Linked DNA regions of Mus musculus: regions 2, 3 and 4 are each reported to be linked to region 1. Evidence: microRNA targets listed by miRTarBase, many of them from high-throughput screens and not tested one by one. Region 1 holds a microRNA gene; each other region holds the end of a gene's coding sequence.
Evidence for each region. The annotated mature microRNA mmu-miR-425-5p reads AAUGACACGAUCACUCCCGUUGA and lies in region 1 at 5,953-5,975, opposite strand. An mRNA with a match to its seed (bases 2 to 7 or 8) in the 3' UTR can be bound and repressed. Matches are read on the target gene's strand: a 7mer-m8 pairs with bases 2 to 8, a 7mer-A1 pairs with bases 2 to 7 and ends in A, and an 8mer does both.

Region 2: miRTarBase lists Lsm6 as a target of mmu-miR-425-5p. The part of its 3' UTR that is shown has no 7-base or 8-base seed match.
Region 3: miRTarBase lists 4930402H24Rik as a target of mmu-miR-425-5p. The part of its 3' UTR that is shown has no 7-base or 8-base seed match.
Region 4: the mRNA of Tef is a reported target of mmu-miR-425-5p. Seed matches in the 3' UTR shown: 7mer-m8 at 4,520-4,526.

Annotation. Positions count from the first base shown.
Region 1 is chr9:108,566,830-108,574,763 of GRCm38, reverse strand. Mir425 (microRNA 425) reads right to left here and starts at 5,987; the gene lies at 5,903-5,987. It overlaps Dalrd3 (DALR anticodon binding domain containing 3), which reads right to left and starts at 4,872. Exons shown (of 12, transcript NM_026378.3): 1 at 4,689-4,872; 2 at 4,319-4,614; 3 at 3,950-4,200; 4 at 3,793-3,872; 5 at 3,591-3,719; 6 at 3,245-3,318; 7 at 3,090-3,151; 8 at 2,900-2,982; 9 at 2,647-2,823; 10 at 2,467-2,577; 11 at 2,303-2,371; 12 at 1,993-2,213. The coding sequence starts at 4,853. The coding sequence ends at 2,094. Mir191 (microRNA 191) reads right to left here and starts at 6,445; the gene lies at 6,372-6,445. Ndufaf3 (NADH:ubiquinone oxidoreductase complex assembly factor 3) reads left to right here and starts at 7,328. Exons shown (of 5, transcript NM_023247.2): 1 at 7,328-7,913. The coding sequence starts at 7,837. It also overlaps Wdr6.
Region 2 is chr8:78,802,684-78,810,617 of GRCm38, reverse strand. Lsm6 (LSM6 homolog, U6 small nuclear RNA and mRNA degradation associated) reads left to right here. Exons shown (of 5, transcript NM_001191004.1): 4 at 558-671; 5 at 2,373-5,750. The coding sequence ends at 2,407. Among named protein-coding and RNA genes, the nearest start is that of Lsm6, 15 kb to the left of the region's middle.
Region 3 is chr2:130,704,681-130,712,614 of GRCm38, reverse strand. It overlaps 4930402H24Rik (RIKEN cDNA 4930402H24 gene), which reads left to right. Exons shown (of 37, transcript NM_029432.2): 34 at 153-355; 35 at 1,738-1,803; 36 at 2,584-2,677; 37 at 3,297-6,415. The coding sequence ends at 3,415. Among named protein-coding and RNA genes, the nearest start is that of Slc4a11, 11 kb to the right of the region's middle.
Region 4 is chr15:81,821,530-81,829,463 of GRCm38, forward strand. It overlaps Tef (thyrotroph embryonic factor), which reads left to right. Exons shown (of 4, transcript NM_017376.3): 4 at 1,937-5,334. The coding sequence ends at 2,152. Among named protein-coding and RNA genes, the nearest start is that of Tef, 14 kb to the left of the region's middle.

The sequences.
Region 1 (7,934 bases):
GAGCCCCCGGTCCCATGAGAAGCTGCATATCGTCAACTGTGGGGGAGGGCACCGCTCCTGGGCCTTTTCTGATACTGAGGCAGCCATGGCCTTTACCTACCTGAAGGATGGTGAGGTCATGCTCTATCGGGCTCTAGGTGGCTGCATCCGGCCCAATGTGATTCTCCGGGAGGGTCTGCATGGCCGTGAAATCACATGTGTAAAGCGTGTGGGCACAGTGACCCTGGGCCCTGAATTTGAGGTACCCAACTTGGAGCATCCTGACTCCCTGGAGCCTGGCAGTGAGGGGCCTGGTCTGATTGACATAGTGATAACAGGCAGTGAGGACACTACTGTCTGTGTCCTAGCACTTCCCACCACCACAGGCTCAGCCCACGCCCTCACTTCTGTCTGTAACCATATCTCCTCTGTGCGAGCCCTGGCAGTGTGGGCTGTTGGCACCCCAGGTGGCCCACAGGATACTCGACCAGGGCTCACTGCTCAGGTAGTGTCTGCAGGGGGCCGAGCGGAGATTCACTGCTTCAGCGTCATGGTCACTCCGGACGCTAGCACCCCCAGCCGCCTTGCCTGTCATGTCATGCACCTTTCATCCCACCGGCTGGATGAGTACTGGGACCGGCAGCGGAACAAGCACAAGATGATCAAGGTGGACCCTGAGACCAGGTAAGGCGGCCTCCCTGTCATGGGCGGGGCGTGAGAGGGTTATAGGAAAGTCCTGACTCCTGACTGCAGGCCCCACCTGACCGGTGTGTACCCCCTACAGGTACATGTCTCTTGCTATTTGTGAGCTTGACAACGATAGGCCTGGCCTCGGCCCTGGCCCCCTTGTGGCTGCAGCCTGTAGTGATGGAGCAGTGAGGTGAGCTCATAGGGCAGAGGAGGGGGAGGGGAGGGGGAGGGTGTGAGCTCTCCAGGACGGTTCCCAGACCACCACCCCTCCTCCTCGCCCCCAGGCTCTTTCTCCTGCAGGACTCTGGGCGAATTCTGCATCTCCTAGCTGAGTCTTTCCACCACAAGCGGTGTGTCCTCAAAGTCCACTCCTTCACACATGAGGCACCTAACCAGCGTCGGTGAGAGGCAGCCCTCTGTGGGTTGGGTAAGGGCTCCTGTTTTTCCATCCCTTTTACTGATCTGGCTGTCCTCTCCTGGCTTCCAGGAGGCTGATCCTGTGCAGTGCAGCTACAGATGGCAGCCTAGCCTTCTGGGATCTCACCACGGCAATGGACAAAGGCTCTACTACCCTGGAGCTTCCAGCACACCCTGGGCTTCCCTACCGTGAGTACCGTGACACCCCTCATTACCTCTCTCACAAGATAAAAGCGGGAGCTAACAGCCACTCTCTTCCTCCAGAGATGGGCACCCCCTCCATGACCGTGCAAGCCCATAGCTGTGGCGTCAATAGCCTGCACACTTTGCCTACACCTGAGGGCCACCACCTTGTGGCCAGTGGCAGTGAGGATGGGTCCCTGCATGTCTTCACACTTGCTGTGAAGATGCCAGAGCCGGAAGAAGCTGATGGGGAGGCTGAGCTGGTGCCCCAGTTATGTGTCCTAGAGGAATATTCCGTCCCCTGCGCACATGCTGCCCATGTGACAGGCGTCAAGATCCTAAGTCCCAAGCTCATGGTCTCAGCCTCCATAGACCAGCGGCTGACCTTCTGGCGTCTGGGACAGGGTGAGCCCACCTTCATGAATAGCACTGTGTACCATGTGCCAGATGTGGCCGACATGGACTGCTGGCCTGTGAGCCCTGAGTTTGGCCACCGCTGTGCTCTGGCAGGTCAGGGACTTGAGGTTTACAACTGGTATGACTGAGTTATCCCAGTGGGTGGAGAACTGAGCACAGGGCCTGACTGCAGACAGTAGAGCAGGGATCAGCTGTCTGTGTCACGCTCAGTGTGCTCTGGGGAGGCGAGGCAGTACCATAGTTCTCGCAAGTATTCCAGTAGGGTGTTGCATAGGAGGACCAAGAACACGCCTCACTCTCACAATAGGATGAAACTGTATTTATTCTGACTTTAAGTGCCCAACATCTGTGAGGTCTTGTTTCTTTCCCAGTTGATGCTTTTATAAACATTCCCAGTTATTGGGCCCTTAGATGTGGCTCAGCGGAGGGAGGCCCAGCATAGCCAAGCCTGTGTGGAACACCTCACGCACTGCCCTCAAAAGCTGTAGGCGAGCAAACATCTGACCAAAGAGGTGTGGCCGAGGTTCCTGAAAGAAAAGCAGCCAGGCGCATCCTCATTTCCCGTGTGCTCAGCCTTGCCCACATTTCCCGCAGACCCCCCTTGCTGTATGCTCACCCCTAGAATATGTACTCGGTTATAGTAGGAGCTGAAATCCATGCTGAGCTGCACCAGGAACTTGCATACCTAGAGACAGACGTTGAGTCGTTGAGCTGTTGTCTTTTTTCTTGTGTTACAACCCAGAATAAAGAATAATGTGTGAAATGTCTTCTGTGCCTTACCATCTCCGTGCGGACAGGGATGTGGAGGCCTGGGGTGCCGGCCAGACTCACAGTCTGGCTCAGCAGGTCCAGAAAGGGAAGGACACTGTTGAAAAGCAGCAGCCACTCACCCTGCGGGAGACAAGCGTGCTAGGAAGACAAGTCCAAGCCTTGTGGACGTTTATCAGGACCAACACTCACCTCATCATGGAGTAGTGAGAAGTCCAGACTGCTCACAAGCGGAAAAGTGGGATACAGACCTTGCTCCGTTCCATGTTTGTAGCCCTCGAAGAGTGTGGCAAGGCGGGCACAGTTATACATGACAAAAGTCCCGCTCTTTGTGCCCTTTGTTGAGATGGTGCTGTGGGCCAGGAGGAGCTGGGGAATGGTAACATAGCTGCAGAGGGCCTTGGCTCTGTACCTGCATCCTCCGTCCTGGTGTCGGGAGGCTTACCTGGCTCTGTGGGGCTGTGCTTAGCATCTCAAATTTGATGGTAGCCACGGAGAGGATGTCGAAGGTCTCAGTCCAGGCGGGGTCTGGGGTGCGAGAGAGGCTGGTCAGTGTCTGAAGACGAAGCACACAGGCCAGAGGTGTGCGTGACCTGCTTCCACCTCAGCGCACACGCAGGATCTCCCAGGTGTACCTTGTGCCAGGTCTCCTCCGTGCTTCAGAGCTGAGGCCTCGCACACCTGAGCATGTCTGAGCCTAGAAAAGCGAGCCAGTAAGCAAGGTCTCAGTGAAAGCTGTCCCTACCTTTACGCTGTTGGTGGCTGTGGATGGCATCCCTTTCATACTCACCTGTAGTACTGAGGGGCAGTCAGCTGGGTGCCGGGTACACCAGCCATTTTCACGGGACCACACACCAGGTGTTTCTGTGAAAGACTGGAAGGGCTCAGCCCAGTTGGCACTACCCTCCCCGCTTCAGGGAACTATATCAGTTGCTTTTCTACCTTGGTTTTCCCAATCTGTAACCACCAGCCTTCCTTCGTACCTCCTCAAGACACCATCATCCTTTTTCTTAAGACTACATAGTCACAGGACATTTGCACTTGTAGCACGGGTGCCTATGGTCACATCAGTCTCTAAACCCCATGGTATTCCAGGCCTGAGGTCGGAGGTGGTTTGGTTAACTTTGGTAACCAACCTGCTTGTGAGGAGCCCGGTCATCCAATTTCTGCCAGAGCAAATCCAGCTTTTGTTGCTGGAATGCCTCTTCACAGCTAACCACGTGTATAACCACGCAGTCATCTACACCAGCATCTGGACGCCCAGCCTGAGGAGAGATGGGGCAGTTACTACAAAGATACAAAAATCCAGTTTGGGCAGAGGTCAAGGCAGCCACTCACCGGGCCTGGGTGGCCGCCCTCTGGCCAGTGGCGCACAGCCTCCTGCAGCTCCGAGAGCACAGAGAGCACATCTTCAGTCACTACAGAAAACAAGAGGTGTTGAAGTGCCTGGCAGTGCAGAGACACAACCCCACCCATGTTCTGCCGTTTGTCCTACCCAAACAGTGGTCTATGCTGGGGTCATAGCCAGCAGTGCCTCTCTGTTCTACCAGTTCCTTCAGACACAGTCGGCCTAGGACGCCAGGGGGCAGCGTCGCTTCCTTAGAACCATTAAGGTTTGCAAGAACACAGGTTCTCAGTGTTTCGGTCGAGGTGCTCTTCGAGGCAGTGGGCCATTCCACCCGAAGTTTCTGGAGGAAAGTTGACATGTGAGGGTCCCGCACCGGGGGCACTGAGCACACACGTACCCTGCAAAGCAAGGGAGGCTGTCTCAGCCTGCGGACCAGGCTTAGATTATCATGACTCCCACCTTTTCTATCCCCAAATGTTCGGTCTTTTGCCATTATAGCTTCGAACACGCACTTACCCATGAGCACGCAGTACCCGTACTAGATGATCGGCTACGAGCACGGCACGCAGCTGGCTCAATCGGAGCGTCCCCGAATTACAGCGCAGTGCTGGGCAGTGTAGGACAACTCGCGGGCCTGGTGAGGCAGGTTTGGCGGGAGTAGCATAGGAGGCCAGGGCACCGAGTACATGTTCGAAGACAGCGGGCCGCTGTAGTTGGAGCGATAAACCCGCGGGTGTCGGCGCGCAGCGCAGTACAGGGGCCACTCCGGGACCCTGCAGGCAGGAGACCGCACGGAACACGCACTCTGGCACCTGCAGGCAGATGTGTGTAAGTGGGCCGTAGTTCCGTGGATCCCGCTAGGCATGCCCCACAGGAGCGCACCCACCTGGCCGTCCCTGAAGCGCGCCTGTAGCGCGCTTCGCGGTGCCAAGAAGTCTCGAACACGAAGGTGCCGGGCATGGGTTTCCTTAAACCACACTGGGCTACCAGGCCCTACAGCTGCATTAAGGGCCTCCAGCGTCTCGCCAACCCCAAGGCGCCCGGTCGCCATGGCGACCGGAAGACTAAATGGAACAGGAAGTAAGTTATCCGTAGAGCTTCCGGGAGGTCCGCCTGGCGGGGGCGGGGATCCGGCCGTGGACTCTCCTGAATGGACCAGAGCGATCGAGCATGCCAAGTGAGCTTACATTCTACCCACGCCTCCAGCTCTCCCTCCCGATGGCCTTTCCTGTATTCATGAGCCCTAACCTCCAAATTTGAGGGTCCATTTTTCCTCCTTTTTAAAAAAATCGTCACCCCGAATTATTACTTTGATAACGGATCTTTGTTACCAGGCAAGACACTTTGCCACCAAAGTTTCACATCTTTGTGTTTATGTCTCTTTTTTCTTTTTCTGCCCCATTTAAACAAATTAAAGGCCAGACGCACGAGACGAAATGTCAAAGGAATAAGGCTGTACCATTAATGACACTTTGTTTTTCAAGACAGGGTTTCACTGTGTAGCCATGGCTGTCCTGGAACTCTTTGTAGACCAGAAAGTCCTTGAACTCAGAAATCCACCTGCCTCTGCCTCCTGAGTACTGGGATTAAAGGTGTGTGCCACCACTCGTGTCTTCCATTAAAGACTCTTTACCGCCTACTTGGAAAAGTAACGAAACAAAGCAAAATTTGAGTTCTGATTATTGGTACGCCTTTCCTCGGCTGCGGTATGGAATGTCTTTATTCCCAGTAAAAGCCCAATCGGATAGAATTGCCCATCTTGATACCCGAGGAATTAGTCATCATGATTCCAGGATTACCAGCCTTTAATGTTTTTCCTTTAAACTGGTGTTACCGGCACCTTTGGTTCTTTAGGCAACTGGTCAGTTTAAGACAAATGTGATGATGAGAAGACCCAAATAAGCAGAGCTCTCAGGTAGAGCAAGCTGCAGGTGAGCTTTTCTATGTCCAAACTCTTTCGTTTCCAAGTAACGTGAAACTCCACTTCCCCCAGTAATGAATGAATCCAACCGGTGAACTTTGCTCCGGAGAGGAGTGACATCTAGAGATAGGAAAAGTTCGGGAAGGCCGGGGCTATGAGGCCCTGTTTGGGAGGTGCCGAAAGAGCACTGGGCGGACACGACATTCCCGATGGCTTCTTGGGTGCCCACTCAACGGGAGTGATCGTGTCATTCCAAAGCACTTTCCATGCTGTGGTGTGGGTTCAGCTGCTAGCAGGGCTGGGACCCACCAGCAAGTTGGTGATTTTAGCTACTCTCCCTCCATGAAGACGGTTGGGGTGGGTTTTCCCCAGGAAGTGAAGATCTATCTTTAGCGAGCTGCGGGCTGGGCGGCCTTGTGGGACTCACCGCCATTGCGGCCCTTCAGAGAGAGGACCCAGGACCTCCCTGGTCAGAGTTCTCCAGGGATTCCAGACAGGGCCATCAGCCCGAGCTTTTTTCGTCGCCTCTGACTGCCACCATCAGTCTGGGGGTGCACCTGAGAGATGGAGATCAGAATGGCCCAGTAGTGTAGTGTTTCTGAGAATAGAGACCACATTATCTGGGCCAGGGCGCTGCTCAGGCAGGAGAGCAGGGAACGAAATCCAAGTGCAGCTGGAATGCTCTGGAGACAACAGCTGCTTTTGGGATTCCGTTGCCCGCTGTCCAGCCATTGGAGGAGGGCTCTTGCTCCCAGGTCACTCGCCCTGAGGCCAAACCGGAACCCGCCCATCCCTTCCCAGTGGGCTGAGTAGGAAGGAGTAGGTGTTTTAAACCAGTCTAGTGAGAATGAGACGCTCACCTGGGCCCCAGAACAATAGAAGGTGGGGGCATCCCCCGGGACGAGGTCCTGATCCGGATTAGATCAGAAGGGCTGGATTAGCCCTGTGAGTCCCAAGCAGGAGCCACTTGTACCGGGCAGGCTTCGGAATCCGTCAAGAGGGAAGCGATTCCGTGAGACCCGAGAGGAAGTAAACCCATGTGTCCACTTCTGGGACTCCCCAAAGCTTAGGACCTTTTGTCTGGTGACGGTGCCAGCTCATGAAGTGCCAGGGGCCAAACTGGCCCACATAGCAGCGGCAGGACAGCCTCCCCCCAAGCCCATTGCAACCGGCCCTGCAAAGAACCCCACAGCCAAGCCCCATTTGTGTCAAGCATCCCACCCGTCTAGTCCAGCGGATAGAGAACGCGACAAAGTTCCTCTGAGGCCAGGACAGAACCGGTGCGCAGAGATGCCCATGCCGCGGGACGCCAAGGACTCATGCGCCAGTAGGCCCTAGACTCAGCTCAAGACAGGGGGAGGGAGACTCTCGGTACGCGCGCGCAGAGCGCGCAAGGGCGGGGTGGTGCTCCAGGCGCGGTCTACTTCACGTCTGGTCCGGTTTGGCCCAGTCAGTCCCACTCGAACAGCTACTCCAGCACTGCCACGGCGTGCCCTTCCGCTGGCTCTAGCTGTCCCCAGACTTGGAGCCATTTTAAGGAGAAACCATCTGGCCACACCCCCTCGCGCTGCCGGGAAGCCAATCCATGCTCGGCCACGCCTCTCATGGAGCGCTGCGCCGTCGCCAACGGTCGCGCTGGTGACGGTTGGGGAAAGCAGCGATTTCGAGACTAGCTAGGGAAATTTTAGCCATCTGCCCCGCCCCCGGAGCCCGATTCTCCAAAGCCTGGGATTAAGGGCCTGGAGGCTGGCACCACACCCTGGCCAGGTGTTCATAACAGGACCAGGTGCGCAGCTGCCCCGCCCTGGTCCCTGGGAGCCCGAATAATGGCTGAGAATCCCAGGAACAGGCCGCGGCAGTGGCCTAAACAATACCCTTAGGGCGCCCGTACTAGCAGGTGTTTTTCCCCCTCCTCCTTAGGGACTGTCGCTGGAGGCATGGGGCGGGGTGGGCGACAGGTGCTGACACACCCGCATGGGGAGACAGAGGCTCTGCATTGGCCTACTGCGCCGTTCAAGGTGCGCGGTGCCCTCCGGGACGCAAGGGGCGCTGTGGCTACTTTGAGACAGACAACTCTGTCCCTACGACCGGGTCGTTAAGCGCCGTTGCAGCCATGGCTACTGCTCTAGGATTTCGCTGCCTTTTCCGAACGCGACCTGCGCCGCTCTGTCGGCACGTCGACCGGCTGTGGTGAGCATCCCCTGTCCAGCC
Region 2 (7,934 bases), not on the chromosome of region 1:
CCACAGCTCTGAGATGGTCTCTCAGGAGCACCTGCTGTCTATTATCTTAACAGATTGTGGAGACTTCCTCTTCACCCTGGGTCCATTCATCTGCTGCAGTAGATGTTGTGAAAGACTGAGACAAACTGCCAGATCCCTATTTCACCGAGCGAGCGAGTGGCTGAAGTAACAAATGTCACCTCGATGGAGGCTCATTTGTCCCTGCATAGTTGCCATGTCTGTCCCGGGCTCCCATAGAAGGGCATTTTGGTTGGAATATTCTAATGCTTATACTTTTGTGAAGGCTTTCAAAGTTGCTGTGGTGAGCACACGTCCCAGGAGGGAGTGACAGTTGGCTGCCTGTCTTGTGGTGGATGCACAGCTCCTCTCATGCTCTGCCCGCCCAGCCTTCATTCACAGGGGCACCGAGGAAAGGCAGGCGCCTTTTGTGTTTAAGTCTATTGAGTTTTGTTTACAGTGTGAATTTTTATATTATGTGTCTGAAGGCTAATGAATAAAGTGATTGTCAGTTCTAAGATATAGCCTGTAATTTTGAATTCTGTCTTACTTTTCTCCAGGGGTCCTGGCCTGCCTGGATGGCTACATGAATATAGCCCTGGAACAGACAGAGGAGTATGTAAATGGACAGCTGAAGAATAAGTACGGAGATGCGTTCATCCGAGGAAACAATGGTAAGAGCTTCCCTTCCATTGAGTGTTCAGAATAGGCCGTTCCTGCGTGTAATAGGGAGCTGCGGGGCGTCTAAGTGTTAAGGTTCTCTTTACTTTTGCTTGTTTGTTGTACTTATATTTTAGGTCTTTAGTATAAACCAGGTCTGTTTGTGAGTGGGAAGAGGATTTTCCATGGAGGTTGGAACTAGAAATTCTCTTTCTCAGTTGCTGAGGGGTATTGGTATACTAAGCAGGCCCATTAGACCAGGGACCCAGAGGGTGTGCGGCACACAACCACATACTGTACTCTCGCAGTGCTGTCTGGGAGTGGAAGCCATCCTGTGCCACAAAACGCCCTTGACATTTAGCCTGTCCTTTGTCCTTTTTCTGTTCAAGATTTAGGTGCCTTTTGTGGAGCTTTGTACCTTTCCGTGTGTCAGAAGTAGGACAGAAGGCGTGGCTCTCAAGTTCTCTTCTTAAAAGCCTTAAAAGTTAGGTCTCGTTAGGAATTAAATATCCTGACTTTTGTAGACATACCTTGCTTGCAGTTCAGTAGAATTTCTTCTATTTCATGTTATTCTTACTTGCCCTCCTCCTTTTGCTTGGAAATATTATGCTCTTAAGTAGCCCCCATAGCAGGAGCCATTCCTACACTGACATCCACCTAGCCTGTCTGGTTTCCCAGGCAGTGGCTTTCCTCCTATTCTGATGGCTCCTACACTTTACTGCCATCCTCAGTAACAGGTGTCATTATTCCTACTACTTGTAGTTGGGTCTTAAAGAGGATCCTAGTTCACTTGATTGAAGTCTGTGCTGGACTCTTTGAGGAAACATCTACTGTTCACTTTGAACAAGCTTGTTCGTATCTGAAGATGTGTGGGATGGGAGAGGGAGGGTACACCTTAGGTGACAGCCTGACCAGAGCCCCTTTTGTCCTATCTCTGTGCAGCACACATTCCACTGTGCTAAGAATGACTGGCGAAAATACATGTTGGATGACACCAAAGGTTTATACTAATCTCAGAATAAGGACTTTGCTTTCTTAAAAATGTTTTCTCATTTTTTTCCTCCTATGGAAATTATCAGAGTAAACCAATTTACAGAGTAAACTGGGGAGATAAACGAAAATAATGCCATTTCTTTCTTTTACATTTTTTTCATGTGTATGAGTGTTTGTCTGCATGTCTGTAAGTACATCATATGCGTGCCTGGTAGTTGAGGAGGCCACACAAGGTCACTGGACTCCCTGGAACTAGATTTACAGTTGGTTGTGAACTGCTTTGTAGGAATTGGGGACCCAGCCCTGTTGCTCCGTAACATCTGCAAGTTACATCTGCTCTTAAGTGATGGGCGTCGTCTCTCCAGACACATGTGCTAGTCATTCTGAATGTGACACCTAACCTAACAGATCTGGCTGATTCGCCCTTTTCAAAACTTGTGATATAGCTATTTACAAATCATTCTTACATTTTAGGCACTTTCACTTTTCTAATTCCCAGTCATAATTTGTAAAGTCAGTAACATGCATAGATAAGACTAGTTATAATCAGGTAAGATGTCCAAGCCCGGTCTAGACGCAAAGCTTGTTTTATAGAGACCTTCATTGCATGGTAGAAACAGTCTTTTAAAGTGTTCGAGGTGTAGGCCAGGACCCATGAATGCCTTTAAAACTGAACCGATGCTGTGCCCCTCGAGTGACTGCTCGTTCTCTTGTCTTTCCAGTGCTGTACATAAGTACACAGAAGAGGCGGATGTGAAGACACCAGGAGGCAGTGCTCTTCAGAGATGGATAGATGAAGTGGTTTTGGTTCTCTTACCATCTTAGTTGGCCTGTTTTCATGGTGGCTGGTGGGGGTTTGTTTGTTTGTTTGTTTAATTGACATTGGAATAAGATAGAGGTATTGCATTACAGATCGACTCTTAAGTTTTTCACATTTATGTCTCAGTCTTTATCATTTCTGCCTGTACAGAATGCTAAAACTAAAACAGTTTGTTTCTCCAGGATTATTTTACCTAAGATTCCTGCCCTGTCATTCCATTGGTTGATTACGTATTCAGCTGACTAAGTGGTACATCCCGGAACCTGTGATCAAGCATTCTGGAGGCATCCTTTGTCTCTTTCTCTACTCACCATCCGTACCATTTAAAGCAGGTAGATAGAAAGTCATATGGTTTCAGCCTTGGGCTATAAAGGGACAAGAGGTCAGAAAATCAGCTGTTTATTTAGTCACCTAGTTAGTGGTGGTATCTCCACAAAGGAGTGCAACTGTAGAGTCAGGAATTGGAAAGGTCAGCCACGTGAGGTGAGACACTGCCTGGAAGCCTCCTGTGCAGTTAGACTCTTCATGTTAACTTGCTCCCTGTTGAGAGTGTTGGTGCAATGGCTGGTTACGCCAGCCAGGGGAGGAGCTCTACTGTTCCTGAGAAACTGGCTGTGGCTGAGGTGGTGCAAGCCCAGAGTGCTTAGACTCAGTTTCCAGGCACTGAGCTTCGGCTGCGAAAGTTTCTCCTGCTTTTTGCTTTAGCAAGTGGCCTTGGGGAAAGGGTTGTATTCTTGGCCTTCAGGTCACGTGACTCCCGCTGAGCGGGCTTGTGCTGTCTGTGGACTGTGTGTGGGTGCTTTGGTTGCATGGACGCTAGGGCTTTCCTTACCCTCCTTCAATCTAAACAGATCCCTGTCTCGGGAGGTCGGACAGTTTTAGAGCAATTGCCCGGCTGGAGGAAGTGGAGGCAGATGGACAGCTAAGGAGGGAGGGTGTGCTTTCTGGAGAGGTGTATATATGGCATTTGTCTAATTTAAATAGTAATCAGAAACAATTAATAACTCAGGAAAGAGAGGAGTAAGGTTTGATGGTGTGCACACTGAAAATAAAACACTTTATCCTAAGCTTCAGTAATTCATCACTTCCTGACAGGGGCTTGCAAAGGCACCAGTGTGTAAGTACAAATCACCAATTTGCTCTTTTATAAATGGCTTCTTTAAAGGAGAAAATGGATGTCTCTCGGAGTGGAGCACACATGTTCTCATTTGTTTTTTAGAGTGTGTGAGGCCGCCAGGTTACTGCATCCCTTCATTCATCCCCTCAGCTGCCCTGAAAGCAGCCCTGCTGTTATCTCCAGCAGTCTGTAACATCCCGGCTCTGCTCATTTCTTCCCTGACCTCCCCTCCAGCCTGCAGGTCTTTATTTCCCTCTTGCCATTTCTAGCTTAATAGCGCTACTGCAGAATATTGTTTTCATCCATGGAACCGCTTTTAATCAAGATGGACTTTGGGAAATGCTACCATTTTTATGGTAATAACCATATTATGCATCTGGACCAGCACATGTTGTCCCCTGTGCATACCTTCTTGTGATAGAATTCTGAAACAAATTGTAAATGGTAAAATTACTTTTTTTTTAACTGTAGTCTCCTCGTGGTCTGTGAATGGTTTTCAGTTGGATGGTAGCAAAGACAATTGTTGTAGGGTGAAAATTTTTCACTTGAGTAAATACATTTTCCGTGTCCCTATGCCCCCAACCACAGTTGCCACCATCTTTCTCTTGGGCCGTGACAAAACAGAATGTCTAGCAGGAAACAGAACTTGTGCTTGCTTTCCAGACTATCTGCCTTCATATTTTGTTTTGGTCTGTGAGCTATTCCTTGGCTAATCTTGCAGACTGAATCAATTCTTACTTCAAAAGTGTTTATCCCAAACAGAGCTGTAGACGAGTACAAATACAGATGGCGGCCATGTGGTCTGAACCATGTTCCCCCTCAGCCTGCAGACAGGGTTCACATCTTGAGCATCATGTTTGAGGCCATATGTAATGCATGCGAGGAGTTCCTAATGATGTGACAGATAGTAACAAATGCTTAAGGGATTTCCTCAAGGTTGGAAACAGCAGCATCGACTTAAGTGTGAGCCGCATCACCCTGGAGGCTACAGTCAGCTTCATTAGAAACAAGCACTGTGGGAAAACTGTCTTTGATATTCACAGTGCCTCTTGGATGACAGCATTCCAGGCCAAGGAGCCAGTCTGTCCCTCAGTGCAGATTAGCATACATGCCCGTCTTTACAGTGACTTTTGGTTTAAGAGAAAATGGTGTATTGGCTTGTTCCTCTTGTGGGAAGATCTCAACCTTGGAGTTCTCATAGCCAATCTATGCTTGTCACGTTTTATTTGTTTTTCCTGCCCCAAAACAAATTATTGGTGAAAGAAGCCAACTGCAGTTTTTCCCTCACGACCTTCAAGCGGCTGTGCTCCACAGCAGCTACCTGTTCTAATCAGCTGGCTTCTGAGAGTACACGGCTAGGTGTGCTCTGATCTGAATAATGTCCAGCAGGGGGTTTTATCCCAGGAGCTGCTGCCGTGTCTACTGTAGTTGGCCAAGCAGTTATGAGTGTTTCCATTGATCAACCATTTGTGATTCCACAAAGTCTTGCCTAAAGGACAGGGTGGACAGTATGCACCTCTTATGTAATAGGGCAAGAGACAGCCTCAAGTGATGCTTGCTTATTGTCTTAGTTGTTACTGCTGTGAACAGACACCACGACCAAGGCAACTCTTATAAGGACCACATTTAACTGGGGCCGGCTTACAGGTTCAGAGATTCAGTTCATTATCATCAAGGCAGGAACATGGCAGCATCCAGGCAGGCATGGTGCAGGAGGAGCTGAGAGATCTACATCTTCATCTGCAGGCCACTAGGAGAAGACTGGCTTCCAGGCAGCTAGGACAAGCTAAAGCCCACGCCTCAGCGACACATGTCCAAAGAAGTGCCACTCTCTGGGCCAAAATTCAAGCCACCACACTTACTTTCTTGAAAAGTTAGAGGAGCTAACTAGGGAGGGGAGTTGGAAGAAATGATGTTGATGATCAGCGCCCACTGAATGGCAGCTGTGGACAGGATCTATGTGGTACCCTAAATGAATAAGTGAGATACTACCCCCTGTGCACGATAGGAAGTCACTTGCAAGTCTGGCTATTTATAGGAGAAAGTACCTGACACTGTCTTTTTAGATGGGACAGGATTTTAAAATAGTTCATAAATGCATTTGATGTCTCAGCTATGTTCATACCTTAAAATTTCAGATAAACTTGGAACTGGAAAACCTTGAAATCTGATCTTTCCCATCTATGCATTGTTCATGGGTCTGTTGGTTTCCTGTTTTTACACATTTTTATCTATCCAACAAAAGCCAGATTTTCTGACTTAGCTAAATTCTCATGCTATCTTTGCCCTCACACCATTACACACCAGTTTGAATGCTATCATCTGAAGTATTGAAGGATTTATTTTCTTGGTAGTAGTTTAAGGTCTGTAGCAGACAGAAATGTAAACATATTTTAGAACTTTATAAAATCATCCAACATTTGAACAATTGAAATAGAGAAGTTTTCAAGGCCTACTTTGCAAAACTGGTCAAGTCCACGTGGGCTCTGTTTATTCTAAGCCTTCTAGTAGAAATGATCCTGGTCACATACACACACAAACTGGTTAAAGGAGGACTCGGTTTGTGAAAGCCTGCGTAAAATAATTTCAGAGAAGCGGGTTTATTACCACAAACTGCATATGTTAGTCCAAACACTATTCAGTGTTTCTGTCCGAAGCCCTATTGGAATTACAACAAAAAGGAAAAGCTAAGAATTTGTTGTGTACTACTGAGTAAATGGCCAGACAGAACAGTCCCCCTCCTGAGTGGTGTCTTAGAGGCAGTCTCCAAATCCTAAAGGTTTAAAACCAGTAACTCTGATGTTACAGGAGCCTATAGGTAAAGCTCTACTGTGGACACGCGGGAGAGTATTAAGAATTATTCCGTAGCCGGGCAGTGGTGGTGCACACCTTTAATCCCAGCACTTGGGAGGCAGAGGCAGGCGGATTTCAGAGTTCAAGTCTGGTCTACAGAGTGAGTTCCATGACAACCAGGGCTACACAGAGAAACCCTGTCTCGAAAAACCAAAAAAATAGAAGAAGAAGGAGGAAGAGGAGGAGGAGGAGGAGGAGGAGGGAAGAAGAAGGAAGAAGAAAGAAGAAGAAAAGACTCCTTCCCTAGCTTTTGTGTTTTTGCTTCGACTTGATGCCACTCACTTCTGATTCATATTAGCCAAGCAAGTTGCATGGCCATGATTTAAGTTTTTTCCAGTAAAATAAAATCCTTTCATGGACATAGAAAACCAAAAATCCTGGCAGAGATTGGTTAAACTTTGTGTCAATCATGCTTCTCCATAGAGACAGAGGGTGATGTGTATGCAAAGAGAGGCATGTGAAGGAACTGACGACACTCCTGCACTGGCAGGGTAGCCCTGCTGCAGAAGAGCTGCAGTTTGACCTGGAGGTAGCCCGTCTGTTAAACCCCTTCCTCTAAGGTCAGTCTTATTATTAAAACCTTCAGCTGGTCGGATGAGGCCCAGCGGCGAGGTGAAGATAAGGTGGTACACTACTTAGTTCAATCTTTTTACTAAAGTATTAATCTCATTTAGAAAATACTTACACAGACAGGGTAGTGTTTGACCGCATCTATGGTTACTGTAGTCCAACCCATTTATCACAAAGTCAGCCATGCGTTAACTAGCCTTTGCATTATCGATGTCCTTAACAGCCCTCTGTGAAGTGTATAGAAGCAGAGTGCAGTGAGATTTTTTTATTGCATTGAAAAGGGAATTTTTTAAGACTGAGTTCACAAGACCCGTGTCCCTAATGTCTTATTCAGTTAATCAGACCAAAGACAAATAGTGGCGACTCTATCATGACTTCAGAAGCTGGGTCTGTCTGGGTAGATTGTTTCATGCCAGGTTGACTTGTAGAATTCCCAGCTAATATATTTCTAGATTTCAGTGGAAATATTGAAAGTGATAACAGCAAAGCCAATATATCTTCTACCCACACTGTAGGTGGATGACAATGGAGCTTTTAGTCTGCATCACAGCACGTCTTGTTAAATGTTTCAAAGCTATGGGTTGTGCAACATCAGAACAGTCTAGGCATTAGGGTTATGTGGCGTGCTTTTTAGTGCATCCAAAACCCCTTTACCTCGAGGATGAATGTGCAGACTCATTCAAAACGGTGCAGTTATTAGGACTGGACTGGCAGTTTGCTTGTTTCCTTCTGACCGTGAGATCTTTGGTGGCGTCTGCTTCAGACCCACTTGTTATGGGGATTTTGATTTCTTTAAAAACACTGAAATATAAGACTCTGGTTTTGGTTTAATCCCAGGTGTAGGATACGGGGCTGCTTCAGATTGTCCTCATGCTCTAGCCAGCAGCAGATAGTTTCTGCAATTGCATGGCATTTAGAATTCTG
Region 3 (7,934 bases), not on the chromosome of region 1:
TGTGTCTGACCACCCATATCAACCAAGTCAAAAACTTGTACCCCATCCTTTCCATTGTGCCAGTTCTTAGGAATCTGTCAACCTGTCAGCATTGTTCCTGTGGAACATTCTTTTGGTATTTGGTCTCAAGGACAAATATGTTCTCTGTGCAGATTCTGAAAAGACCATGGAGGTTTGCCACAATACTTTAACCAACTCCCTGACCATTGTGCCAGTTTTGGAGGGACCCACACCACCTCCCAACTCAAGAAGCAGCCCCCAAGACAACGGGCAGCCAGAATGCTACCTTGTGTTCATTGGCTGCTCCCTGAAGGAGGACAGCCTCAAAGACTGGCTTCGACAGTCAGCTAAGCAGGTGACTTACAAAATATACACTGCTGAGCCTGAGTATGACCAGCACACCCTTCGGAGTCTCTCACCCTTCCCTCTGACACCCCCCTGCCCCAGTCTATGCCCCAAGACTCAGCCAACACTCTTAGGGACAGTTGGGATTAGAAGAAGCCTTTGGGGGCAAACTCCAGGCAGACATGGCAGTACTGTATTGGGGGGGGCTTTTGTTTTGTTTTGTTTTTCTGAACAAGGTCTCTCTGCCTTGGCTCTTGTGGAACTCACTCTGTAGACCAGGCTGGCCTCAAACTCAGAGATCCACAGCTGCCTTTGCCTCCCTAGTACTAGGTGCAAAGGCATGCACCACCTCACCCAGCTTGGGTTTTTTGTTGTTTGTTTTGTTTTGTTTCTAAGATCGAGTTTTTCTGTGCAGTCCTGGCTGTCCTGGAACTTGTTCTGTAGACTAGGCTGGTCTCAAACTCAGAGCTCCTCCTGACACAAGTGTGCTGAGATTAAAGGTGATAGTGTAGTTTTCATTGTTTTATGTGTACAGGTACTTTGCCTGCATGTATGTCTGTACCACATGAATGTCTGGTGGAGGCCACAAGAGGTCAGATCTCCTGGAACTAGAAATAACAGATAATTTTTGCACTGGAAATCAAATCCAGGTCCTCTGGAAGAGAAGCCAGTGTTCTTAACTGCTGAACTCTCTCTCCGGCCCCAGTACTGTGTATTGTTTTACGCTCAGGTTCTCTAGAAGCTGTGGGTGCTCAGCCTCCTGACACAGGGAACGTCGGTGCTTTGGCTTATCCTGGAACTCCAGGAGTAGGGTTGCTGGGTCCTGGATCTTTTATACACCGGTGATCGTCTTCTAGGAGCTGTGAGCTGTCTCCTGTGGATCACTTCCTCTGCCTTTGCTTCTGTTTTAGGAGGCTGGGTGTTAGAGCTGTGGTGGTCAGGCTGAACCTCACTATATAGACTAGACTGCCTTCAATTTTTTAGTCCTCTTGTTTCAACCTTCCAAGTACAGGGATTACAGGGATGTGTCACCACTCCCTGTTTTGGAGGTCTTAAATGTTATAGACTGTGGAACTTCAGGCTACTTTTGCGTATTATCTGTCATTGTTGTGAGTTTTGCATAAGAATCTGCCAAGAAGCAGGATTGTGCCTATTTGTAAAGCACTGGGCTTGGCTACCATTTGGTCCTGGCTATATTGCAGAACTCTGGTGGGAAAATCCTTTCCTCAGGAACAGAAAAGCCAAATAGCATGTCCATGAGAGCCAGTTCCTGCACTCTTCCCTCCGCTGGGATCTCTGAGATGTAACTGGCCCCAGTCTCTTTGGAGCCTTCAGCTACCCTTGTGCTCCATTAGTTCTGTTCAAATGTCTGTTTTCTCTATGTCTGCATAGAGGCCTCAGAGGAAAGCTCTGAAAACCAGGGGCATGCTGACCCAGCAAGAGATCAAGAACATCCATGTGAGTGTCCTGCCCTAGCGTCCCCTCCATGGCTTGTGCTAGACTTGTTCTGCTGTCTTGGGTTCCCAGAGTAAGGGCCTATTTGTAGGATGTCCTGGCAGTCTTTCTTCTCTCAGGAGACAAGGGGGGAGGGGGGAGTGGTCAAGGAGCCTAACCTTGTAGCTTCAGGAAGTGGAGTGGCCACAGCTGCTGAGACCTGTGGATGAAGTGGAAAAGATCTGGTACCTGTCAGTAGTGGTACAAGATCTCTGCTTAAGATGAACTGCACAGAAGTCATCTGAGGCCCAGAAGAAAGCTGTATAGATAGAGCTGTTCATGGGAAGGCTATGGGATACTAAGCCAAATGAGGTTTTCTGGGTGAACCTTTCTAATGGCAGACTGACTTCTAAGCTCCTTTCCCAAGCTCATGCCCTTGGAGGCCTTTTATCAAGGTCTTGGGACAAAAGACCAAAAGCCACAGCCAGAGCCCCATCATGGGCTGTCACTAGTCCCAACGTCTGTGCAGTATACATGGTGCCTGAAGAGGCCAGAAAAGGTTTAGATCCCTGAAACTGAGTTACAGGTCATGGATGTGCTTGGAATTAACCCTGGGTCTTCTGAAAGAGCAGATGGTACTCTTAACTACTGAGCTACCTATGCAGTTAGCTGGCCTTTACCTGCAGGGGGCTGGGATTAAAGGTGTGGGCCACCATAACCAGCACTATTTATTTGCTTTGAATGAATGAATAAATGAAATGATAAAAAGTTGTCAGATAATGCAACAGGATTCTTTTCCAACAGGTGAAACGCCACTTGGACCCCTTACCTGCAGGCTATTTTTACAATGGCACCCAGTTTGTTAACTTCTTTGGGGACAAGACTGATTTTCACCCACGTATCCTTGGAAACCGTTGGGTTGTAGTATGAAGATCTGGGAGATACAAAGATCTCCTGCAAAATGGGGGTTGGGGGTCGCTAGGACCACCACAGCTATGCCCTAGGAGCAGGCAGGGTCTGCAGTCCTGGAGGCCTGGCAGGGATAAACCCCACAGGCACGCATTCCATGTTGGTGTTAAATCTGCCCTTTACTGAGCAGCTGTAATGTTTACTCTATGAAGTGTGGCTTGTAGGCAGCATTGATAACAACAGGGTTATGACAAACAAATTGAAGATGGCCTGTTAGAGCAGTCCATGTGTGAAGAGATGGACAGGATGCAATGCGGGCCTCCGAGCTTCAGTGTGCTGATAAAACCCAAAGGCTTGGGTGGGGGACTTGGCAATACCTGCTACCATCATTGTGGCTATGATGCTTTGTGGCAGATACTTTGGTTTTGGTTTCCTATGCCAGACCTGCCCACAAGATCCCCAGGATAAGCTGCCCTTCTTTCTTTCTTTCTTTTATTTCTTTCTTTCTTTCTTTCTTTCTTTTTTTTTTTTTTTTTTTTGTGGTTTTTCGAGAAAGCTGCCCTTCTCGTCCTCCAGGTTTACACCTCACTTCCTTAACCAGGTGCCAGTCATGGACCAGTTCATGAATGATTATGTGGAAGAGGCCAATCGGGAGATCGAGAGGTACAACCGGGAGCTGGAGCAGCAGGAATACCGGGACCTCTTTGAGCAGAAGCCGAAGCCCTAGAGAAAGCTGGGCTTGTGCCTACCAGAGATGAATGAATGAATGGGTGTCCAGCTTTCCTGGAGGCCCCTCCTGAAGGGGCTGTCTCTGTCCTCCCTGGCCTGTGCCTGACAGTGTAGTACATGTTGTCTTTATTCTCTCTTCTCTCTGCACCATGAAAGGCATTGTGTGGACCACTGAGTGAGGGCGGGCACAGGATGAGCAGCTAGCTAGCACTGCCCTGTGAACCAGCAGCTCTGGGTGTCTGGTAAAAGATTCCATTGGACCGATGGACACCATGTAAGGCCGAGGAGAAGCCTTTGGTGTAGCTGCTGGTATTTAGAAGGACCCTGGTTCCCTAAGCAGTGGCCAGGCAGAGATCCACAATGCCTTCTAGATGAGAGCACTTCTGTGGGATGAATGGAAGTGAGATACGATGCTTTCTAGAAATGCAAGGCTCCGTCACTAATTGCAGCACCTTGGGAGGTTTGGTCCTTGAGTTCCTCTCTGTGGCATCACTTGGTTCTCTAATTTAGGGAGAAGAGCAGGCATGCTGCTCGAGCCCTGGAGTGCCTCCCCTCCCTGTTGAGGTGGATATCCTATAACTAGCTTGGACCCAGGGTCTAACCGTTTGGGGACTGTTGGTCTCTAGCACTCAGCCTCCCCACCTCCTGCTAATACATTTCAGAAAACCTCCCAAAACTGCCCCTGGCCCTGAATTTGTTTACTTGGTTCCCAAAGACCAGGAATTTGAAAAATTCTGATATCCAAATTGGAATTCCCTCCAGTAGTTTTGATTTAGGTTGGACCGAACAGCAAAGGTAAACTAACTTGCATTCCCAAGACTGACCTTGCTAATTAGTGTGAGGAATAAGGTCATTAAAGGTGACGTCTGCTAGGATTTGAGTGCCTCTGCTGCTGGACTGTAAATGTTTTCTGAGTTTCATGTACCTTTTGCATGCCTTAGAAGAAGCACATAGTAAAACCAGCATAGTGTTCTGTAATGTAGAAGGGTTTTTGAGAAAGGGCCCTGGCACAGAGGAGAGGTAAGATGGAGCATATGGGTCTGTGTGCCTGGTAACATGGCACTCTTTGGACAAATAGCAAAGTAGTAATCAAGGACTTGTCAATAAAATATACTTGTGTTAGGGGGAAAAAAATGGAAGCTGAATGAACTAAATTACAAGTCCCATTGGGTCAGAAATCTTGCATTAAGAAAAGCTTGTGAAGCCGGGTGTGGTGGCGCACGCCTTTAATCCCAGCACTTGGGAGGCAGAGGCAGGCGGATTTCTGAGTTCGAGGCCAGCCTGGTCTAGAATGAGTTCCAGGACAGCCAGGACTACACAGAGAAACCCTGTCTCGAAAAACCAAAAAAAAAAAAAAAAAAAAAAAAGAAGAAAGAAGGAAAAGCTTGTGAAACTCAGGCCCATATGCTTCAGTCCCAGCTCCAAACTACAAGGCCCTCATGTTGAGCTCTAGTCTGGGAGTCCCTGACTTCGGGCTGGGGGTCAACAGCATAGATCTTAAGTGCAATTGATTAATAAGCAATGAGTTATTATAGCTCCCTTTATCTTCACCAAGCTCTTTTTAAAAACTAAACTTTGAGCTAGCAGCCTTAGCAAAGGGAACAGGGGACCACAAGCTATGTTACTTTCTTTGGGGGGTGGGGGAGAACCACAGGCCAGTTCATTTCCTGCAGAGTTACTGTGAAGTTTTCAGTGGAAGCTCTGGATTAAGAGCTCGGCTGCTTTGGCCTGGCAGTCTGGCTGCTGCACAAAAAGAGTTTTTAAAGAGGGGTTGGGGCTGTGCTACGTGGTGAGCTTGGTTTCTGACCCTTGTCCATAGCCATGTGCTTTCACCAACCTGCCCCACTGCCCCCATTCCTCTCGTTCGTTAGAGGGAAAACCGATTACCTCAACTTGAATATGAAACTGTGGTTGAAGAAAAAGCAGAACGAACGTTCAGCAGTTTCTAAGCCAAGAGGGCAAGCTAGCCGAAGCCTCCATAGGTGCTCCCTAGCCTGCTCAGGAACTGGGGGGCAGCGACCACACACTGAGTTCTGAGGACTAGGAGAGGGATCTGCTTGCTCCTCTGCCGATCCCAACGACATGCAGGTCCCTTGACTTTGATGTGGGGTTTAACACCCACTTGATTCCTCTAGTCCAAGAGTGTGGTCTCAGGCTATCTCCAGCGGGGGAAGCCATGATAGTCTTAGCCTCTGATCTTAGAAGTGGGTATCATGGACCCAGCAAGGATTTTAGGGATCAGCTCCCAGGACAGACAGAAGCCCTCCCGGCTTTCTCCCAGCTTTCCTGTCAGCAGCTTCAGTTCTTACCACAGAGTGAGTGTGATAGTGGTGCGGTCACTGAAGTTATGGGCAGTTTTGTTTTCCTGCGGGATTTCCCTTTGTTGACTGGAGGGAGACTAGAAAGCAAACATTGCAAGCAAGTTAGGCCCAGCAAGGCCTCAGGCTCTTTGACCTGAGGCCCAGACACCAGCCCTTCAGGCTGTGATCAATAAAAACGTCCCTCCTAAATCCTGTTAGGATTTTGGAGAATTTTTGCACAGTAAAAAGCTCTGGCTTCTCAAAAGGGAAAAGTTCAATTCAAAGACTGTAAACTTAAGTATTCCAGCCATGCTGCTGACTAGTTGGATAGCTGTACCTCAAAAAATAGGTGGGGGTGGCTTTCCCACTATCCCACACCGTCACATACTAATGAAGAGCTCACTTACGTGCCAAAATTCACTTTTATACTAGTTTTTCAATGCTTTAATATTTGTAACTTAAATTTTAAAATTCATATTTACAAACACTACTATAACTTCAGTGAAACTGAATTGTGTGATTGAAACTTTTTGCTTATTATAGTATTTATTACACTACTTAATTCAGTAAATATATAAAAGTAGCCTTCAATTTATTTTTATATTATTTTACATGTTTTTATCTGCAGTTGTGTCTGTGAATTTCACTTGGAATTAAGATGTAATGCTAAGGACCAATAAACTGTCACTCAACAAGTACCTCTGTCTCTGCCTGTCTCCCAGTATCCCTGGTGTGGCTTTGGAGGGTGGAACCCTGGGCACTGGAGACTTTCTCAGTCTGGCTTTGATGTTCCTGGCTAGGACTGCTGAGGGAGAAGCCCTGGAGGCCCTCAGCACACCTTCAGAGGGTAAAATCACATCACAGTCACCTGCCCTGGCTTATACACTTCAGGAGCCCCAGGAGCTGGAGACACAAAACTGACTGTCCTAAAGAAAAGCTACACACACACACACACACACACCGCACACAGACTCCTCTCTTCCAAGGCTCAGGGTGAGCTCACACCCCCATTCCCTCCACCTGTTTTTTTTTTTTTCTTTTTGTTTGTTTGGTTGGTTGGTGGTTGTTGTTCTAATAGGATGATGTCCTGTAGTCCAGGCTGGCCTTAAATTTATATGTAACTGGGGCTGGAGAGATTTCGGCTCAGCGGTTAAACACACTGACTGTTCTTCCAGAAGTCCTGAGTTAATTCCTAGCAACTGGATGTAAGGGTGATCTGGCTGCGACATCTCTCACCCCATTGATTGCCAGTGTTGATTAGGCTGATCTGGCTGGCTAGGTGGGTGTCCCTTCCTCCCTCACTGCTCTATGTGTGTCCCTCCCGAAGCAGCTTCCAGTGCACTAGGTCTAAGAGGACAAACTTCCCAGAATAGAGGAGAACCAGTTTCCAGTTGAGTATAACGAGTAGCTGTGCTCTCCTGCTAGAACCATCAATCCCCAGCCACCTTGTGGTGCCTCACAGCCATCTGTAATGGGATCTGACGCCCTCTTCTGGGGTGTCTGAAGACAGCTGCAGTGTGTACTCATATACATAAAATAAATAAATAAATCTTTTTTTTTTTTTTTAATTCTGCTATGTAACAGAAACTGGCCAAGAACTCCTGATCTGTTCTCCCAAGTAGAAGGTTAGTAGGTACGAGCCACCATCCTTACTCCCCTACTCTGACGGCCTGGTAAGGCTCCCGTTGGCACAATGCCTTCATGGGTTGGTCAACTCTTTACAAGCCCTGTGGGTTTGCCACCTCAGTGTAACTTTATAAATGTGGGCAACTAAGTCACCAGCAGGTAGAGTAATTGGCACAGAACGAGGGACACTGGCAGGCCTAGTTAAATCCAGAAGTGAGTCTAAGTGGGGCCTCCAAAGTTGGCCCAAGTATTTACAGCACTAAAGGAAGAAAACAAACATACAAATGGGTGTGAGGTTTGCACCACTCGGCTCCCATTTATCACGCATCCCCAACCCCAAAGCTGAGAGCAGGGAAAGGTCCATCTCCTAGAGGCCAGCTCTCCAGGCAGCCTGGCCCCCAGAGCACGTGTATCCTGTCCTTCCCATAGGGACCTGGGGCAAAGGGAAGGCCCTAGGCGTAGCTTTGGGATATGGCTGGAAGAGGAGGAGTCTAAGGGCAGGCCTCCAAAAGCAGCTCAGAGGGCGTGGGAGCTGAGATGCCACACTACATGGAACGGGTTTGGGAGATGTGGAAAGGGGTAACCCTGTCC
Region 4 (7,934 bases), not on the chromosome of region 1:
TTGCCTGGGACACATGAGGCCCAGAGCACCATCTCTAGCTCTTCACACAGAGAAAGAAGCTGAGCGTGTGGCATACACCTTTAACCCCAGCACTCGGGAGGCAGAGGCAGGCAGATCTCTCATAAAAGCAAAAGGAGAGGGAGGGAAAGAAAACTGGAGTAGACCTTGTGCTTCCTCATATGTGATTTTATATGGAGAACCCTTCCTACGATGGACACCACATAGACAGGAGTTCTCTATTTGAAGCCACATCAGCAGTAATTTGATGGGAAGAAGTGCTCAGGTATGACTTGAGTCCTAATTACTCTGTTACTTCCCTTCTTCCCAGGGTTGCTTGGGTGTTTTAGTTCCACTTCCTTGGTATGAGAAGTCACCAGACTTAGAAAGTAAGACTCAAACCTTAGATAGAAAGTAAGGCTGGACAGACTTTATGGGGGTTTTTTTGTTTTGTTTTTTTTGGTTTGGTTTTGGTTTTTTTTGTTGTTGTTGGTTTTTTGTTTTTGTTTTTTTTTTTTGTTTTGTTTTTGTTTTTTTTTTTTTTTTTTTGAGACAGGGTTTCTCTGTGTAGCCCTGGCTGTCCTGGAACTCACTTTGTAGACCAGGCTGGCCTCGAACTCAGAAATCCGCCTGCCTCTGCCTCCCGAGTGCTGTGATTGAAGATGTGCACCACCACGCCTGGTTTAAGATTGAACAGTCTTAAAGGACAAAAGACACCTTGTAGGGCTGGGGAGATGGCTCAAAGCAGCGGTTCTCAGCCCTCTTAATGCTGCAACCCTTTAATACGGTTCCTCAGGCCTGGGTGACCTCCAACCATAAGATTTTTTTGTTGTTGTTTGTTTTGTTTTGTTTTGTTTTTTGAGACAGGGTTTCTCTGTGTAGCTCTGGCTGTCCTGGAACTCACTTTGTAGACCAGGCTGGCCTCGAACTCAGAAATCTGCCTGCCTCTGCCTCCTGAGTACTGGGTTTAAAGGCGTGCGCCACCATGCCCAGTCATAAGATTATTTTTGTTGCTACTTTACAGCTGTAATTTTGCTACTATTTTAAATCGTAATGTATCTTAGTGGTGGTGTCTGCCTTTAATCCTAGTAAGTGGGAGGCAAAGGCAGGTAGGTGGCTTTCTGTGAGTTTGAGGCCAGCATGGTCTACAGAGCTAGTTCTAGGACAGCCAAGGCTATACAAAGAAACCCTGCCTCAAAAAATCAAATAAATAAATCGTAATGCAAATACCTGTTTTTGGATGGTCTAAATACAACCTCTGTGAAAGGATTGTTTGTTCTCAAAAGGGGTCATGACCCACAGATTGAGAAATGCTGGCTCAACGTCCACCCAAGCACCATGGCGCACACACCTACTCTCTCCCTCTTTGTTCCTCCCTCTCTCTTACATGGTCTTGTAAAGTCAGGTTTGATCTCAGGGGACTAACCTACACCTAGGTTGTTGGCTTTTAACCAATACTAAGTGTGCTGTGGTGGCACACATTTTTAATCCCAGCACTGGAAGGTAGAGGTAGGTAGACTGCTGGGAGTTTAAGGCCATCCTGGTCTACAGAGTGAGTTCCAGGACAGCCAGGGGTACACAGAGAAAGTGTACCTAGGAGGGGGTAGGGGGAGAGAGAGAGCCTGACTCAAAAAAAGAGACAGAAAGAAAAAGAAGAGAAAGAGATGTTAACAACCACCAGTATGCCTAAGCAAGGGCTGAGCACACAGCTATACAGTTATACAGAGCTGTCGGTGCAGCCCTGGTCCCCACCATGCACCTGCCCCTCAAGGACAGGCAGTGTCCCACACTATTCCTTCTCTGGGGTCTGGAGTTCTTACCACAACGTTGAACTATGTGCAGAGGAGGGGCAGGGCGTGTGAGGATTTGGGGATGGGAAGGAAAGATTAAGTTCTCTTAGGGGGAATACCAGACACTCACAGAGGACACTTTCCCACAGGATGAAAAGTATTGGACAAGACGTAAGAAGAACAATGTGGCAGCTAAACGCTCCCGGGATGCCAGGCGCCTGAAGGAGAACCAGATCACCATCCGGGCAGCGTTCCTGGAGAAGGAGAACACAGCCCTGCGGACGGAGGTTGCCGAGCTTCGCAAGGAGGTGGGCAAGTGCAAGACCATCGTGTCCAAGTACGAGACCAAGTACGGGCCCTTGTAACCTGTGCCCCTGCCCCGCAGGGCACTGCCTGCACCTCAGACCTCTGCCTGGGGCTTCCTGGACCCCACTCGTGTGGAGACTTAGGACTCTTCATGGGCACATGGTGGCGTACCTGCTCTAGGAGCACTCACGTCTCAGCTTCATTATAACATGGCCAGCACATGTGATGACTTCCCCAGGGGACCAAGATCCTCTCCGATGGGGAACATGAGCGAATCTACGTAGACGGGTAAATGGCCCAAGTCTCTTTTGTTGGATGCTCCAGCTGAATCAGAAGGGGCCTTCTGGAGTCCAGGTTCTCTTGTACAGAGTGCTCAGGCTTTCCTAGCCTTCCCCTCAGTCTCCAGTTTGGACTGACAAGGGCTGTCTACAGAATGAGTCATGATTATTGTCACCCTAATGTCGTCTCAGGTAGCAGGTGCATTTCCACTTGGGGTGTGTCTGTCATGTACCTCACCCTCCCCAAAATCTTTGAGAGAAACATTCATTCCCATCTGTCTCAGAGCCAGGACATGCTAATCCTGTTAGTATAGACAGGGTGGTGGACCACACAAGTGGGGTCTCTGGATAGCCTGGAATTAGGGTGGGGCTGGGGCTTGTGGTAGAAATGCACCCAACCATTCTTAGCTCCAACTTTTGTCTTGTGACTCTCAGGCCTGAAGTGGCCCTGGAATCAGTTTCCTCTGCATCCCACTTGCTATGGAAGAGAAATTTCCAGGAAGTCTGGTCTCTGGGGTCTAATTGCCAGCGCCTTTGTATCTCTGGGCCATTCTGAAGGCTCATGACTTCCACTAGCTTGGTCTCTGATTATTTTCACCCAGTATCCCTTCTCAGTTCTTAGGTTTAAGAAGAAAACCTATCACCTAGGAAGCTTGAGCTTCCAGGCCCCAGGGTACCACTTCTGCATGGTGTTTAGGAAACTGGCTTCCACAGTCTCCTGTTGTGGGCACCAGACCGAGGGGTTTTCTCTTGGGAAGCTCCATGGAACCCTTGCTCTGGCTCACCAATATACCCAGGCCAGAATCTAGTGTCCCTGAAGGCAGAAGAGGGCCTGCCACGTCACAGATTAGAATCCCTCCCCATGGGTATCAGCAGGCCGCCGTATATGAGTTGTATTTGCTGAAGTTACTTACAGTGCAGCTCTCATGGGACAGCAGGCTCTGGAGACATTTACACTGGCCTGCAGTCCCTGTGGAGTCGGAGGGTGCCCACACAGCTCTCCCCGTGGGGCAGAGTGATTTCTTGCAGTTTTGGCTCCCTCACAGCTGCACTTTTCTCTTCTATTTGGCTGGATTGGACATCATGGAACCCTCTACTCATGTGGGTCATGAGGGCACCCTCCAGGAGGGTGTGTTTGTTTGCTCAGGGCGGGCAGCCTGTGTGAAGGAGACAGAGGTGATGAGGGTGCTTCATTATACTTAACACTGGCTTTATTTTAAATGGTGGCTTAGTTTGGGGCCCCTATCTTTTAAGACTTTTCATAATGATGTTAAGACCAGGGCAGACTGTCTACTGGCCATGGACTGCAGCCAGGAGATGCCCTGCCCCTCCTGGGACCTGCACACCACCTCTCTGGGGAACTTGACAAAGGTCCCTAAGGCTAAGGGAGGTCTCCCTCCTACTAGGTCCCTGACTTTGACTCTGTGGTTCTCTAGGAACCGTGTGCACACTTGTCTCTGTTGTAACTACAAAGGGCAGTAGCATCCAGCATGTCAGTGTCTGCCCGGGCTGCCTGCCTCCTACCCACCCAGCACTATTCTCTGGGCTGGCTGTTCACCCAGAGGCAGTTCTCATTTTGTTTCTGGTGGACAAGCCTTGAGCTGAAAATCTCTTCGTTTTCTTTGACTAGAAAATGTAAGGTTTCTGTTTTTTAAGTTTTAGTTTTAAGGAATGGATACTTATCTCTGGATGCCATCTGTGTTCTGACCCTAGTGGGTGGGTGGGCCTTACCGTCTCCCCTTAGTCCCCGTTCTGCCTTGTGGTGCCCTCCTTTCCTTCCAGAAGTAGGGAGTGGGTTCTGGCTCCTCCTAAGTGCTTACAGAGTCACTGTCTGCTTGTTTCTTGGAGAAGCCTCTGGAATGAAAAGCGGCAGGGAAACAAACCGGAAGGAGCACGCCTAGAGGTTGACATCTTGGAGAACAAAGTGTTCACATAAGCTTGGCTCCTCTGTTGGCTTTAGGACCCAAGGCTGCACAGAAAGAGTTGAGCTCTGCTCTTTATCTTGCTGTGGAAGTCTCCTGACTCCCTCTAGGAGCTGACAGCTGAAGCCTGAAGCTCTTGCACTTGGATCCTTGAATTCTAAGGAGTAACCAGGCTCCAGAAGCCAACTTCTATTTGGCTTTCCGTGGGTTTGTCTTAGGATGAGAAGTGTCATCACTTCCTAAACATCCTGTTCTCAGCTATGGCAGCCTCAGAAAAGACACCTGAATGAGTTAGAACCCTGCAGGAATGTACATTCAAGAGATGTCTTGATAAAGAACTACGTGCTTTTGGAAAGAGCCACCCTTTGGAGGACCTGTTAGTCACCTTTATCTTCAGCCCAAAGGCTAAGTTATGTGGGTCTGACTCCTTTGGTTAGGGACAGCACTAGACAGTGACCCTAACCCTTGGTCCATACTCCCTGCTGTGATGGTGCTGTGGTCTGCTTTCCACTCAGGCAGCTCCTACAGTCCTCCAGCCTGGGGACAGATGGGAAGCTTTCCAGGGGCCCCCCGAGAGGTGTGCTCCCTGTAAGAGGGGCCTGTAAGAGGAGCTCTTGGTTTCCAGGGCAAAGCCCTACCCACAGCTTCTTTAACATCTGTTAATTAAGTGCAATAAAATTTTCTAGAAAAAGGCAAAGATGATTTCCAGGTAGAGATTGCTGTCTTTTGGTGTTGGATGCCAGAACACCACTTGGTTTTATTTTTCTAAGTGCATGTGATTGGTAGAGTGTGTGGGCTCTGCATCCTCCCTGGGAGCTGCATTCCAGCAGCCCCTCTCCCTACCTTTGCCGTGGGAAAGAGGCCAGGAGAAAAGCCCTTTGTCCCAGCTGCAGAGGTGGAAGCAGACAGCAGCCCTTTGGCCTTACATGTGTGTGTGTGCCTGTGCGAGTGTGTCCCTGCTGGTGGGCCGGAGTGATGTGTTATGGAGGGAAGTTGGGAATGTATCCTTTTCAAACAAAATTAAATATTTTGAGACGAGAACTTGGCAGTGGTCTTTTCTGTTATTCCCTCCTTTATTTTCTGTCTATATATGCCTGCATGAGAACCTAGCCAGAGAACCTCCTCTCTTCGGAATCCCAGGCAACACCTCTGTACACACCAGCTAGATGCCCGAGTCTCCTAACTCCTGGCCTACAGAATGAGTTCTAGAACAGCCAAAAAAATCTGATCTGCAAATTAAACACTGAGAAACTCACAATCCTCCTGTGTACTGGGAATAACAGGTGTTGCTTTTTTTTTTTTTTCTGAGACAGGGTTTTTTCCATGTAGCTCTGGTTGTCCTGGAACTCACTCTGTAGACCAGGCTGGCCTTGAACTCAGAAATCCTCCTGCCTCTGCCTCCCAAGTGCTGGGATTAAAGGCGTGCGCCACCACTGCCCTGTAAGGTGTTGCATTTTTTAATCAATACATAACTTTTAACTATATATACATGTCTGTATGTGGATATATGCTTAAGTGCAGAGGCCTGTGGAGACCTGAAGAGGCATTGGATCCTTTGTAACTGCAGTTACAGGTGATTGTGAACTGGCTGAGCTGAGTGGTGGAAACAGAGCTCAGGCCTTCTGCAAGAGCACTAAGAACTCTTTGTTTGTTTGTTTGTTTTTCAAGTCAGAGTTTCTTTGTGTAGCCCTGGCTGTCCTGGAACTTGCTTTGTAAACCAAGATGATGGCCTGGAACTTGGAGATCCATTTGCCTCCCAATTCTCTTTATACTTTATAGCTCAGGCTCTTAACCACTGGTCCACCTCTTTGACCACATTCAGCCAGAAGCCTTTCTTTAAAATGGTGATCCAGGCAGCAGCAGGCCCTGGGGCACTCTATAAACCTCTGCTTGCCTTCCACTGGTTGTGTGTACTCCAGGCTGACTTTTAGGGGTCCTGGCTGGTGAGGGGAAAGATCTTTAGACCTTGGTCTGCTGCTTCCAGCTGTGCTGCCTCTCAGCACGTGAAGTACCTCACTGTTCTGTTACACTACCTCAGAACACTCTAGAATGGACATCCTTGTTTAAAGAGGAAGAAATACTGAGCATTGCATGGTGATGCACATCTTTAGTCTCAGTGCTTGGGAAGCAGAGACAGGGCAATCTCTTAAATTTGAGGCCAGCCTGGTCTAAGTCTACATAGTGAACTCCGGGACAGCCCAGCCAAGACTATGTAGAGACCCTGTCTCAAAAAAAAAAAAAAAAAAAAAAAAAAAAAAAGACGGAGGAGGAAGAGGAGAAGGGAAGGAAGGAGAAGAAGAGAAAAAGAAATCAGGATCGAGCAGGCCGTGGTGGTGCAGGCCTTTAATCCCAGCACTCGGGAGGCAGAGGCAGGCGGATTTCTGAGTTCCAGGACAGCCTGGTCTACAGAGTGAGTTCCAGGACAGCCAGGGCTATACAGAGAAACCCTGTCTCGAAAAAACCAAAAAAAAAAAAAAAAAAAAAAAAAAGAGAGAGAGAGAGAGATCAGGATCGATCAATCACACACACACACACACACACACACACCCATGCTGAAAAGAACATTACAGAAGTAGGTGAGGCTCAGAACAACTTAAGGTATCACCCACCCACTCTCAGAGCAGAGATGCAAACTTGGGATGAACAGCAGCCCAGGTCCTGTGCCTTCATAATCTCAGGTCTCGTTGACTTCTGAACCCTCACAGCTTTCACCATTACCTCCTTACCCAGGGTGCCAGGGTGCCTGGCCCTGCCTTGCTGACAGCAGACTCCACCCTCCAACTCCCTTTGGCTACCAGAAGTCAGTCAAAGTAGCCAAAACCAGATCTGGTGTCTCCCCATGGACTGCTGAGCCTCCCTGCCTCCCTGGCAGAAGTGGCGAGAAGACTGATGCCCACACAAGAGGAGGCTGCTGCCTGACCCTGTCTCACACTTGCATGAATGGCTCCCCAACCCTGGGTTCATATCCTGATGATCGAGACCGATTGCCAACTTAACCGGATCTACAATCACCCAGGAGGCAAAGCTCCTGGCACACCTGTGTGCAGGCACCTAGACTAAGTTGGCACCAGGGCATACATGTGAGGATAATCTAGATTAGATTAATTGAAGTGGAAGACTCAGCTGAGGGCAGCACCTTCTCAGGGGTTAGGTTCTTGGTCTAAAAATAAACAGGTAAAAAATGAAGGGCCGACAATATGACTCAGCAGTTAAAAGTGCTTTGAGCTAAACCTGATAGCCTGAGTTCCATTCCCCTGGAACCCGCATGGTGGAAGACCAGAGTGACTCCTGAAAGTTGTCCTCTGACCTCACACCCACACTTACCCTTCCCCTAATAAATAAGTATAAAAGAATAAGATCTGGTCTTTGTTTGCTTGGTTTTGTTTTGAGACAGGGCTCTGGCTGTCCTGGAACTATGTAGATCAGGCTGGCCTTAACTCCTGGCCTTCTGAGTGCTGGGATTAAAGGCATAGGGCCACCTCAGCAAGATCTGCTGTCTTGGTGCTCCCGTATGGGAGGGTTAAGGAGGGATATTACACCCCACACCTGTGCCCCCTCCCAGCTGTCACTCTGCCCTAGCTACACATGGGACAGGACCTTCACAGTGACATTGTTTACAAACAGCTGAGGTCCAAAAAGGA